Linked DNA regions of Arabidopsis thaliana. The protein of the gene in region 1 interacts with the protein of each later gene in a pairwise test. Each region holds a gene or a part of one and is shown on either strand. Other genes may lie near its edges. The genes, in order: BEL10, KNAT6 and KNAT2.

Region 1 (3,758 bases):
TCGAGAGGATTCAACGATCCAGAAACCGATTGGATCTTAATGTCACTGTTATCTTCCTTCTCTCGGCTACATCTCTTTCCACTAACACTACAGGAATCAAAAGTAGATCTCACGAGAATCATTCCTACTGTTGATACAGATAAAACCAATAGAATCATCAGTGGCCATCTCTTCTTCTGCAATGTTGCCCACATACTCGTTGATGGCTTCGCCATTGTTTCTCTCTACAGCTTAGAATCACATCCTAGGGTTTACACAGTAACAATCGATCTCAGAACTTTCTAAGGATCTGTCGTCAGTGATGGAGAAAGCTTGGAACGAAGAAGTTTAGAGGAGAGATTTAATGGGGAAAAGCCGCTAATCAGTGTTGACTCTTTGCAGAAGTTTGCAATTCACGCCGTTTTTGTTATTTAGAAGGAAGTTGATTGCCGTTTCTCAGCAGGCCCCCGATGGAATCCTCTCTTCATATTTATAATGGGCTTTAAAAGGCCTATTTGCTAAAAGCCTAAAACTAAACTAGTTATGATGATAGTTAATGCATACTATATGGTTTTAATTCTTTTTTTTTCTTAAGCTAAGCTAGGCTTCAGATTAGTTTTGCTGATACAATTTTGGTTTGGTTTTGTTTGGTTCTAATAATGGAGAGCATAATGATTTCGATCCATAGAATATAAATGTTACAAACATGAATTTTAGTGGTGATGATCCGTCTTCATATATGGTCCAACAATGTATGTGGCAATAAATTCTTTTACTTTTTGTTACACGGCCATAACTTGTGGCTATTTATTATAAAGTTTTTTTTCGGATATATCCATGTAATTAATATATTTGACAATTGGCAAGAATTATTATACTTCAACATTTTCCTCCAAACCAAAGGTTGTTCATTTCTTACTCACACACATTTTCCTCGTTTAGCATCATCGATTCATCCTCAACTTTAAAATATGATTTACAGAACCATACGGTTTTAAAAATAATTACATCATTAATAATCTAAATTTTTAGTAGATTTAATCAATCTCTCACCAGCTAACTGCCTAATTAATTTATTTTTAATCATCATTATAAATCAAGATCCACGTGGAAACAAAAGTCAATATCATCATCTCTCAAAGACTCAAAACACATGAATAATAATTTTCCAACACAATGGTACTTGCCAAATGATTTTGTGTCGGCTGCTCTAAATCCAATCTCCAACAAACCAAAACGAAACTACTTGTTATTTTAAAAATCAGAGGAAATGGATTATATTATTAGTGTAGCTATAAAGATAATCTTTTACGTATTCTTCATTGTGGAATATGCAAATACAAACATGTAAGTGTATAACTAAAAGGTTTATAACAAAAGAAATAAAAAGACAAGAGAACTTAGAATAAAAATTGGGTATAACAGAAGAGTAAGGAGGGACTCACCAACTGGTTGTTAAGTCATTTAATCCATCAATTAAGCAATTGAGCAGACACACACCCACCTTTGTTTTATCTTCTTCCTTAAACCAGCTTATCAGGGTCAGTTTTGTAATCTCATATTCCTACCTATAATGACGTTTCTATGTTTTATTTGATGGAGTTTAATTTCCGCTACCATGCATAACTAAAAGTATATCCGTTATATCAAACATTTAAAGAAAACCTCAAAGATATTGAACTACAAAGTGCTCAAGAAGTTCTATTAAAAATGTATCGAACTTTAACTTTATGATGAAAGCAAGGTGATAAGAACAAATAGTTTAAAAAAACATTTTAGTTTGAAATCCAAATCTAGACTCTATAATTTGTGGCAGGTAATAATTTCACTATTTTGGAGCCTCACGTACACAAATCAGGAAGTCGTTAAAAGTTTCCCACGATACCATGGTAATGTACGCATTATAGATTATTTCGTTTAAATAGTTAGATTTGGTTTTTTTTTTTAATATACAAATACTAAACTTTTCATATATAAACACTCATTCCTTCAACTTTTTTCTTTTGGTTGTATTTAGTTAACTTATACGGAAAAGTAGTATGAGTCTCAAGTCAATGACAACACAACATCATTAAAGTATAATACAATCATCTATAAAAATCCATTTATTTGTGTGTGTGGAATTGTTAAGTTTTGTATGTTAAAGTCGTCATAAGAAATATTATCACGTAATCAAGAAAAGAAAATTGGTGATTTGTAAGCTCTCACGTGTTTCTCTATGAATGGTTGGCACACAAAAAAAATCATATTAATTTATCTTTACTCTAAGCATCAGAAACAGAAGCTTCTGCCGCAAAAAATTAAAAATTACAGGTAGCGGTTGTCAAATTTTTCCGGTAGTGATCATTATTTTATTTTATTGTTGATATTGCATAATAATATTTTTAAAAATTGGGTTGGTGTCTAATGTCCCAATGATAAGTTGGGTTGGTTTTATTGTTCTTGTGGACTGAAAAAAATTTGTTTATTTAAGAATTTTGCAATTATTAATCGCCTCTTTCTCTATCTCTCTCGGGATTGGGTCTCAAATCTTTTTTTGTCTTCAACTGTTCGAAACTCTTCTGCTTTTGTGTTTCCTGATTCAGCCACATCCACACTCACAAACACAATCTCTAGGTTTTTTTTCTTCCTTTTAACTTTGATTCTCTCCCTCAGGTAGTTTTTAAAAATTCAAGTTCTTGATTCTTGATTCTTGATATGATTAATCTTGTACTGTGTTTCTTGATTATTATTTTTTGTATACTTTCTGTGTTTTTTTTCTCCCTTGCTTTTTGGAAATTCTCCTACAAGAGATGAAATCATCAAGACACTTTACTTCTTTATGTAATAATTGAATCTTCTCTGCTTTTGACTCACTACGTTGAGCTACACAATTTCTTTTTACTCTGCATTTTTTTTTCCAACCTCAAATTAGGGTTTTTTTCTCCTCTCAATTTCACCTCCATAGATCGGGTATTCCTCTACGATTACACAATTCCTGTATTGGGTTTTTCTGGGTTTCTTCAGTTCTTCACGAAAAACATTTGCTTTTTATCAAGAATTTGACTTTAATCCTCCGAATAATTTGGTCCGATTCTGTTTGTTGCTTTCGAAACTGTTTATGTATGATATATAAAAAAAATGGTTTGGTGTGAAATGATTACGATGTTTTAACCTCTCTTAGATTCCATCAGAAATTTTTAAAATTCCACACCTTACACGACTCTTCTTCCTCTTATTTTTTTGCAGGATCTCATTTCCCGACCAAACTCATCGAACTAAGAACTCACTGTAATAAAACTTTTAAAAGGTGTAAACACCAATGGCAGTTTATTACACAAGTAATGTCGGTTGTTACCAGCAAGAACCAATCTTTCTCAACCATCAACAACAAAACCAACAAGCTTCTTCTTCATCCGCCGCCGCTTCTTTCACCGTCACCGGCGGCGATACTGTTCGAAACGAGATGGTTTTTATCCCACCAACCACCACAGGAGACGTTGTAACAGGAAACGGTACCGTTTCAAGCAGCGATCTAAGCTTTCACGATGGTCAAGGACTGTCTTTGAGCCTTGGTACTCAGATCTCTGTTGCTCCGTTTCACTTTCATCAATACCAATTGGGGTTTACTAGTCAGAATCCTTCAATTTCAGTCAAGGAAACGTCACCGTTTCATGTGGATGAGATGAGTGTGAAGAGCAAAGAAATGATCTTGTTGGGTCAATCTGATCCTTCCTCTGGTTATGCTGGTAATGGTGGGAATGGCTTCTACAACAATTATCGGTATAATGAGACATCAG
Region 2 (3,758 bases), 1.5 Mb from region 1:
AGAGAAAGAAAATATTGAACATTTTGATTGTGTCTCCAGAAAAAATTTGTATTGTTTTTTCTCACCAAGAATATGCATATGTGAACAAATAATATGTTAAATAAATAAATAACATATTTTCGTCTGATCTTTGCCAATAATAAGAAGGCAAACTCGTTTGTGATATATATATTGTTTTCGCTTTTGTGACTTCATATTTATCTAATTTCAAGTCTCCTTTCTTTAACTTAATTTCCCCTTGATTATTTATGATACGTTAGGTGATTTAGAGCAACCAATAGTTTGCAAGTACCTTTAAGATGAAAATGACTTTCTCTAGTCTTTGAGAAAAAAAATAAAAACAGAAACAAAGTTTATATTAAAGTAGTATGAAAGAACATGCCACTTTCTTGATTGAAAATTATATGATAGACGTAAAAAGCTGTCGACAAAACTAAAAGAATAGTTCCATTCGAAATATTATAGATGCTCTCGTTCTATTTTCTTTTTGGTTAAAGTGCTCGTTTTTTTCTTGATACTCTCTTTAAATTACGGCCAATTTCATAATTTCAAACTTAATACATATGTAAAATCATTAAATATACCAAATTATGCTTATGTCTATTTTTGTGAATAAATTACATAGTTCATTTTCATAAGCTAAAGTCATCATGAATATCAGCATCATCAATTTTGGCATAAATTTCATAAATCATAAATTAGCTAAGACCATTGATTTTGCAGCTCCTATACGCCTAGACCAGCGTTTATTTTATTCTTAGTTTTATCCACAAACTTGCTTTATACAGAACTATTCTAAAGTAAACACTAGCTGATACTATATACTAATTTAATCTTAATTAGACGATTTTCCATTAGGGCCTTCTTATCTACTATCTAGGAACGGACCTTCGCTTCTCGAAACCCATTTCATCCCGTACAATCGAAGTGTCCAACATCCGAGTTGGTAAAAAATTTCTTACTACGTAGTAGGTACTAAGAATCACTTATCATATCCATATATTCTTCACATTTGATTTATTTCATACCATCATTTGAATATATATGTGTTGATTATCATTTTGTTAGTAGTCGTGTTCGATAATTTTGTTCTGTATCTAGCAACAAATTTACAGTGACAAGTATTAAAATAATACCGCTCTTTAACTATATATATGTATGTATCAGCTCACTAGTTGTTTGTAACCAGTTCTTGTTTTTCCAGTTTGATATATTCGATTCAACATACCCAAAACATCTCTCATATACTGAACTAATATCTATTTCTAATTGACTCGATTCAATATCATTAGTACTATATTATCTTCTGATATGCGACTTCATTTGTTTTCTTTCTTCTGTTCGGTTTTCCACTTGTTGTTTAACATTTTCACCTTGTTTCACTATTTGCAATCAAATAAACGATTTATGTAGGTGTATCTATATATGTTCTTAGGATCATAATAAAAATATATTTTCTACAAAGTTTTTCGAAAATATATATACATTGGGGATTATTTTTTTAACTGTCTACAGCTCACACATGCATATTATCATATTTGAATGAAGATAACGATACAATGCCGATACTGATACAAATCATTATGTTAGATGCTCAATTTGTTTCTATAGGTCCTATAATATATACATCAAGTCATCAACTATACTTTTTGAAAAGAAAATTACACAGAGCTTTCAAATAAGTTGCGTGTAGTTTAGTGGTTATATGTACTAGTAGTTATGTTACCATCTAAGTGTATTGTCGATGAGAAAAAAAAGAGTTCAAATAAACTGACATAGTATGCTGGTAAATAATCACACTTTTTCCGTTTTTTCCATTTCGTTTTCAATAATATATAATTTTGTTTCTCGCCATGTTTCATTGATATTAAAAATCTCATGATCATGCAAATTCTATCATAACACAGCCTTGGACCTTTCTTAGATATATATGTTAGGAAGGCCTTATCTCGACCTATGAAGCCTGAAGCTCCATTGAGCCTTTTAGCATATGTCCTTTTTCGTAATTATCATTTTATTTTTCTTCTCCGTTAACTTTCATATCTTTTTTCTTCCAAAAGAAAATAAATTAAGATCCCTCGAGCCTCTCTCTCTCTCTACACACTCCCATAGAAATAAATATTTTCAAGAACCAAAAAGTTTGTTATAAGCGGTTTCATATTATTCTTCTTCATCGATTCTTGATTTTGCAAGAAGACAATTCAAGAAAGCGATTTAGAAGACGGAGGAGTTCTTACCGGAGATCTTATACTTATGGATGGAATGTACAATTTCCATTCGGCCGGTGATTATTCAGATAAGTCGGTTCTGATGATGTCACCGGAGAGTCTCATGTTTCCTTCCGATTACCAAGCTTTGCTATGTTCCTCCGCCGGTGAAAATCGTGTCTCTGATGTTTTCGGATCCGACGAGCTACTCTCAGTAGCCGTCTCCGCTTTGTCGTCGGAGGCGGCTTCGATCGCTCCGGAGATCCGAAGAAATGATGATAACGTTTCTCTAACTGTCATCAAAGCTAAAATCGCTTGTCATCCTTCGTATCCTCGCTTACTTCAAGCTTACATCGATTGCCAAAAGGTGATCGTTAACTCTTTCTTTTTTTATCACTTAGATAAAATCTAGGTTTTACTTTTTAAAGATAAAGATAAGATTGAGAAGCTTTGATATTTGATTGTTTTTTTTATAATTTTATGGTTTAACAATTTCATAATTTAGAAACAGGTCGGAGCACCACCGGAGATAGCGTGTTTACTAGAGGAGATTCAACGGGAGAGTGATGTTTATAAGCAAGAGGTTGTTCCTTCTTCTTGCTTTGGAGCTGATCCTGAGCTTGATGAATTTATGGTCTCTCTCTTTTTTTCCCTCGATTTTTTTTCGGATTTTTATTTTTGTTAAAATATTTTTTTTTGGAAATTTTTGTACTTAAGAAGATAATTTATTATCAGGAAACGTACTGCGATATATTAGTGAAATACAAATCGGATCTAGCAAGACCGTTTGACGAGGCAACGTGTTTCTTGAACAAGATTGAGATGCAGCTACGGAACCTATGTACTGGTGTCGAGTCTGCCAGGGGAGTTTCTGGTATGTCTTAAATTATCCCTCTCTGGTTCGGTCTTTTAGTGGTTCTATTTTGTGGTTAGTTCTGAATGATTTCTTTTGATCTTTTCCGTGGTTTTTCATTAATAATATCCTTTCCTCGATATTTCCATAGGGTTTTGATTCATATGACCAGTTTCTGAAAAATGATTGGTAGCTTGTTGATAGAATAACCCTAGGCTTTTGAAGTGATCAGAAAGCAAAATAGATAAAAAATGAAAAAAAAGAAGATAAACCCTAGCTACAAGTTTCATTTCCATAGCTATTTTTCCCTTGATGGGTTTTGTTTTGTGTGTGCTTTTCTTTTGGGCACGTTGAAACTCTGGAGACAAAGATCTGTTTAAGGTGTTGTGCAATTATTTTACTCGTTCATTTAATGTTTTAGCCATGGGATTAGGGTGTTGGAGTGTGGTGGGGATTTCCTCTTCTTCTTGTTGTTGATCTTTGTGCTAATCATACAAATTTTACTTTATATCTTTTTCTCTTCTTTCTCTGTCAGAAAGAAAATGGTGTAGAAAGCAATAAACTTTTGTGGTAGAGATTCTGATTTTGACGTTTCAGAGGCTTGTTGCGTACTGAATGTTTTTTCAACTTGTTGCTTTTTTCTAGTGAAAAACCAATTGACAGAAAAACCTAGTCATAACTTTTTAACAATATGTGTA
Region 3 (3,758 bases), about 20 Mb from region 1:
CTCAAATTTCAGTTCGTTACAAGCGTTATGTAGAGATGACTAAAAACAATATTTGTTAAAACATAACATATTAAGACAAGCATATAAAATTTTATAAACCATATTAAGATTATTTTGATAACATGTAATTGTATAGCATAAAACTACTTAGAAAGAAAGAGAAACAACCAAAGGAGAGTATTAAGACCTGGGATTCCCAAAATAAATAAATAAAATCCATAAGAAGCTAAGTAATCTCCAATTTCAGTAACATTTCTAACAACAGAAACAAATTTGTTCAAAACCACATATTGATGATATGAGATACAAAAAAGAATGACAATAAACTCCTACAAAGTTGAAGCAACCGAGTGGTACAATAATATATTAACAAAAACCTCAATACAAAGAATTGAAACCTAACAACACTAAATCACGGGAACAGTATGAACAATCCATGATGAAACATTCGAGTGGTACAATATTATCTTAGCAACATAATTATATGCACTTGATCTAATAATTTAGTCGTCACTTTTTGTTATTATTATTTTTTCTGCAAGACACACATTTTTTTTTTGCAATCATTTCTCGACGATAGTGATCATATAGATTATAGAAACTTGTGACCCCCCCCAAAAAATACAGAAAAGTTTAGAAACAATATAAATATGTGCTGTGAAGGCCACCGGTGGGGATTCAATACGATACGATCCAACGAAGTGAAATGAGAGAGAAGGAAAGTTCTGTCGTTTTTATAAGGTTTGATACTAAAACAAAGCTTTATGTCAGTTAAATTTCACACCAAAGTAGTCCGACGGATGTGTCAATCAAACCTGTCCATCATCAAAAAGACCTTTATGACATTTGTTTTTATTTTTTTTTGCGGAAAAAACGATATGGATCATCGGATCGGGTCTGGAGTAGACCCATGCAAAAATATAGTTTTTTTTCTTACAACAGGGTTTATAGATGGATTTTGGTTTATGACAAAAACTGCAGGTTCTGTTACTATATAAGGTAATGAAACATTTTGAGTTGATATTATACGCGACTAACAGATTCTCTATGAAAATAACAAGAAGTGCGATAAGTGGAGTGGCCACTATAAAAAATAGTTCCTAAGAGTGTGTTTAATTAGCAAATGACTGAAAGCAATTAAAAAACAAAAATTGTTTACTATGTTGTGATTGATAATGAGCACCTAGCTACCATAGACGTGTTTTACAGAGAAACAAAACTAGGTGAAAATTGAAAGAGTGAAATTGAAGTTGAACCGATCCGGTTAGACAACTAGAATCGTAGTAGCCTAGTAGGTGTCGGCCACCGTAATTGAAACAAAAAGCTTATTAATTAACAAAATTACCATCATTTGTTTTTACTGTCAAAATTCAAATTACCATCGTCTAACCTGTTTTTGTTAACAAGTACTAATTGTTGTCTTCATTAGCTAAGTCATAAATTCTAAAGGTTAGCGTGCTATTTTGATCATTTGTGCGATAATATTATATATCAAAAATAATCGTAACCATGTAATCGTACAGTTAAAAAAAGTGCTCTTGAATCACGAAGAAATCTTTTTATAATCACTCGAATCGTATTCCTTAACACATATGGCAAACCCTTGAAATCTTTCTTCTTTTATACTAGTACGACAAAATAAAATAAAAATTATGGTGTCTTTAAGAAAAACTTGTAAATTATCATAATAAACTATGAAAATTCATATTCGTGATTTTTTTTTTTTTTTGCTTTTCGTCACAAATCATTTTTTTTTTTTTTTGGTTTTTTGCTGAAATATTTACGATCATTGCCCTCAGACTACTATACTACGAGACCGCCTCAACTTGGCCAGTCTATCTATTTCCATTGTCTCTATCTCTCTCTCTCTTTGAAGCAGTTTGTTACTTCTTACTTTTGTGTTTCTTCATATTCTTCAGAAGCAAGCACAAGGCTAGGGATCGAAGAAGCGGCGATCACTGATCGTATCTCACTACGATCACATTAATGGATAGAATGTGTGGTTTCCGCTCGACGGAAGACTATTCGGAGAAAGCGACGTTGATGATGCCGTCCGATTATCAGTCTTTGATTTGTTCAACCACCGGAGACAATCAAAGACTGTTTGGATCCGACGAACTCGCTACCGCTTTGTCCTCGGAGTTGCTTCCGCGTATTCGAAAAGCTGAGGATAATTTCTCTCTTAGTGTCATCAAATCCAAAATCGCTTCTCATCCTTTGTATCCTCGCTTACTCCAAACCTACATCGATTGCCAAAAGGTGATCTCGCTGCTTTCGTGTTTTGTCTTTTCTTTTTCTTGTTGTGTATGATTTTGTGCTTTCAAGGTTAATTTGATTAAGCGTCAGGAATTTTACATGTATTCATCGTCGTATTTAAAGATAGTTCTCTTACTTTTTTTTTTCTATTCCACTTTAACCCTAAGATAAGATTGGAGAACTAGAGAGACTGTGTTTATATGTGAGAGTGATTTTTTTTTTTTTTTGGTTATTGATTGACAGGTGGGAGCGCCTATGGAAATAGCGTGTATATTGGAAGAGATTCAGCGAGAGAACCATGTGTACAAGAGAGATGTTGCTCCATTATCTTGCTTTGGAGCTGATCCTGAGCTTGATGAATTCATGGTTTCTCACTTTGTTCGTTGCCTTGAACTTTGATCTTCTAGTTTTTCTTAAAATATAATTTTGTTTTTTTGTGGTGTGATTCTAGGAAACCTACTGTGATATATTGGTTAAATACAAAACCGATCTTGCGAGGCCGTTCGACGAGGCTACAACTTTCATAAACAAGATTGAAATGCAGCTTCAGAACTTGTGCACTGGTCCAGCGTCTGCTACAGCTCTTTCAGGTCAGCACTAAAGTGATATCTATCTCTTGTTCGAGTGTACTTTTGATTTCTTGTTTCCTAGCTAGTGTTTTTATTGATCTTTGAGCACTATCCTCGGTTTGTGTGTCCTTTAAAATCCTTGCGCAAATTTCTCCTTACAGTTACAGATCTTGCGGATTAGAAAATCTATCCTCAGATAACTTTTCCTTTCTGTGCTTCAATGATCAGTTTCTTGGAATTGATGGAAAAATTGGAAATCTTCTACTGTTTTTTTTTTCCTTAAAGAAAACGAGAATCGATAAGTTGTTGTAGCTGAAACTAGGAGGAGCTTAGTAGATCCGGTTTAGACAACCCAAGGCAATAAAAGTCAGAAAAAAACAAGGAAACTCTAAAACCCTAGTTTTGTTAGAAAACAATGATTGATTCAGCCACATCTTTTATATTTGGTAGAAGTCATTCATGCTTTAGATAGATCCATGACCTTCACACATCTTTGTGACATTTATTTTCTATCATTAGCTATGGTTTAAGCTGTGGGGCGGATATTAGGGGAAAGCCGGTGGGTAGGATTTTCTCTGTTAGTGATATTTATTTTCCTAGTGATTTTGGTATGGTATACTTTTCTTTTGTTACTTTTATATATACTTGTATTATTATCTTCTCCTCTGTCAGAAGAAAATATGGGTCTATGAAAGCAAAAACTTTTGCGCTAGAGATTCTGATTTTGACGTTTCAGTGTCGTACTGGAAGTTTTTTAATTGCTTATTTCCAGTGAAAATTCAATCATAGAGAAAAAACCTAGTCATAACTTCCACTAATAAATGCCACTGATTTTTCTTGAGTTTGTCCTTGGCTTCATGTTTAGATCTCTAGTAGTATCGCTTGTTTTCATCTTCATTAAGAGACTGATGGGTAAAACAAAACTTTACTAGT

The links.
Region 2: the proteins of BEL10 (region 1) and KNAT6 interact in binary tests that used the Arabidopsis thaliana proteins (3 or more experiments, as listed by UniProt).
Region 3: the proteins of BEL10 (region 1) and KNAT2 interact in binary tests that used the Arabidopsis thaliana proteins (3 or more experiments, as listed by UniProt).

The regions. Positions count from the first base shown.
Region 1 is NC_003070.9:6,811,377-6,815,134, reverse strand, and holds the start of BEL10 (BEL1-like homeodomain 10), read left to right. Parts: upstream 1-2,071; 5' UTR 2,072-2,292; intron 2,293-2,377; exon of another isoform or gene 2,378-2,931; intron 2,932-3,140; exon of another isoform or gene 3,141-3,207; 5' UTR 3,208-3,280; coding exon 3,281-3,758. Other genes in the region: AT1G19710 (UDP-Glycosyltransferase superfamily protein), read right to left, coding at 1-215.
Region 2 is NC_003070.9:8,300,988-8,304,745, reverse strand, and holds the start of KNAT6 (homeobox protein knotted-1-like 6), read left to right. Parts: upstream 1-2,145; 5' UTR 2,146-2,253; coding exon 2,254-2,574; intron 2,575-2,712; coding exon 2,713-2,841; intron 2,842-2,942; coding exon 2,943-3,081; intron 3,082-3,758. UniProt on the Arabidopsis thaliana protein: Plays a role in meristem function. Contributes to the shoot apical meristem (SAM) maintenance and organ separation by controlling boundary establishment in embryo in a CUC1, CUC2 and STM-dependent manner.
Region 3 is NC_003070.9:26,574,649-26,578,406, forward strand, and holds the start of KNAT2 (homeobox knotted-like protein), read left to right. Parts: upstream 1-1,837; 5' UTR 1,838-1,986; coding exon 1,987-2,259; intron 2,260-2,499; coding exon 2,500-2,634; intron 2,635-2,707; coding exon 2,708-2,846; intron 2,847-3,758. UniProt on the Arabidopsis thaliana protein: May play a role in meristem function, and may be involved in maintaining cells in an undifferentiated, meristematic state. Probably binds to the DNA sequence 5'-TGAC-3'.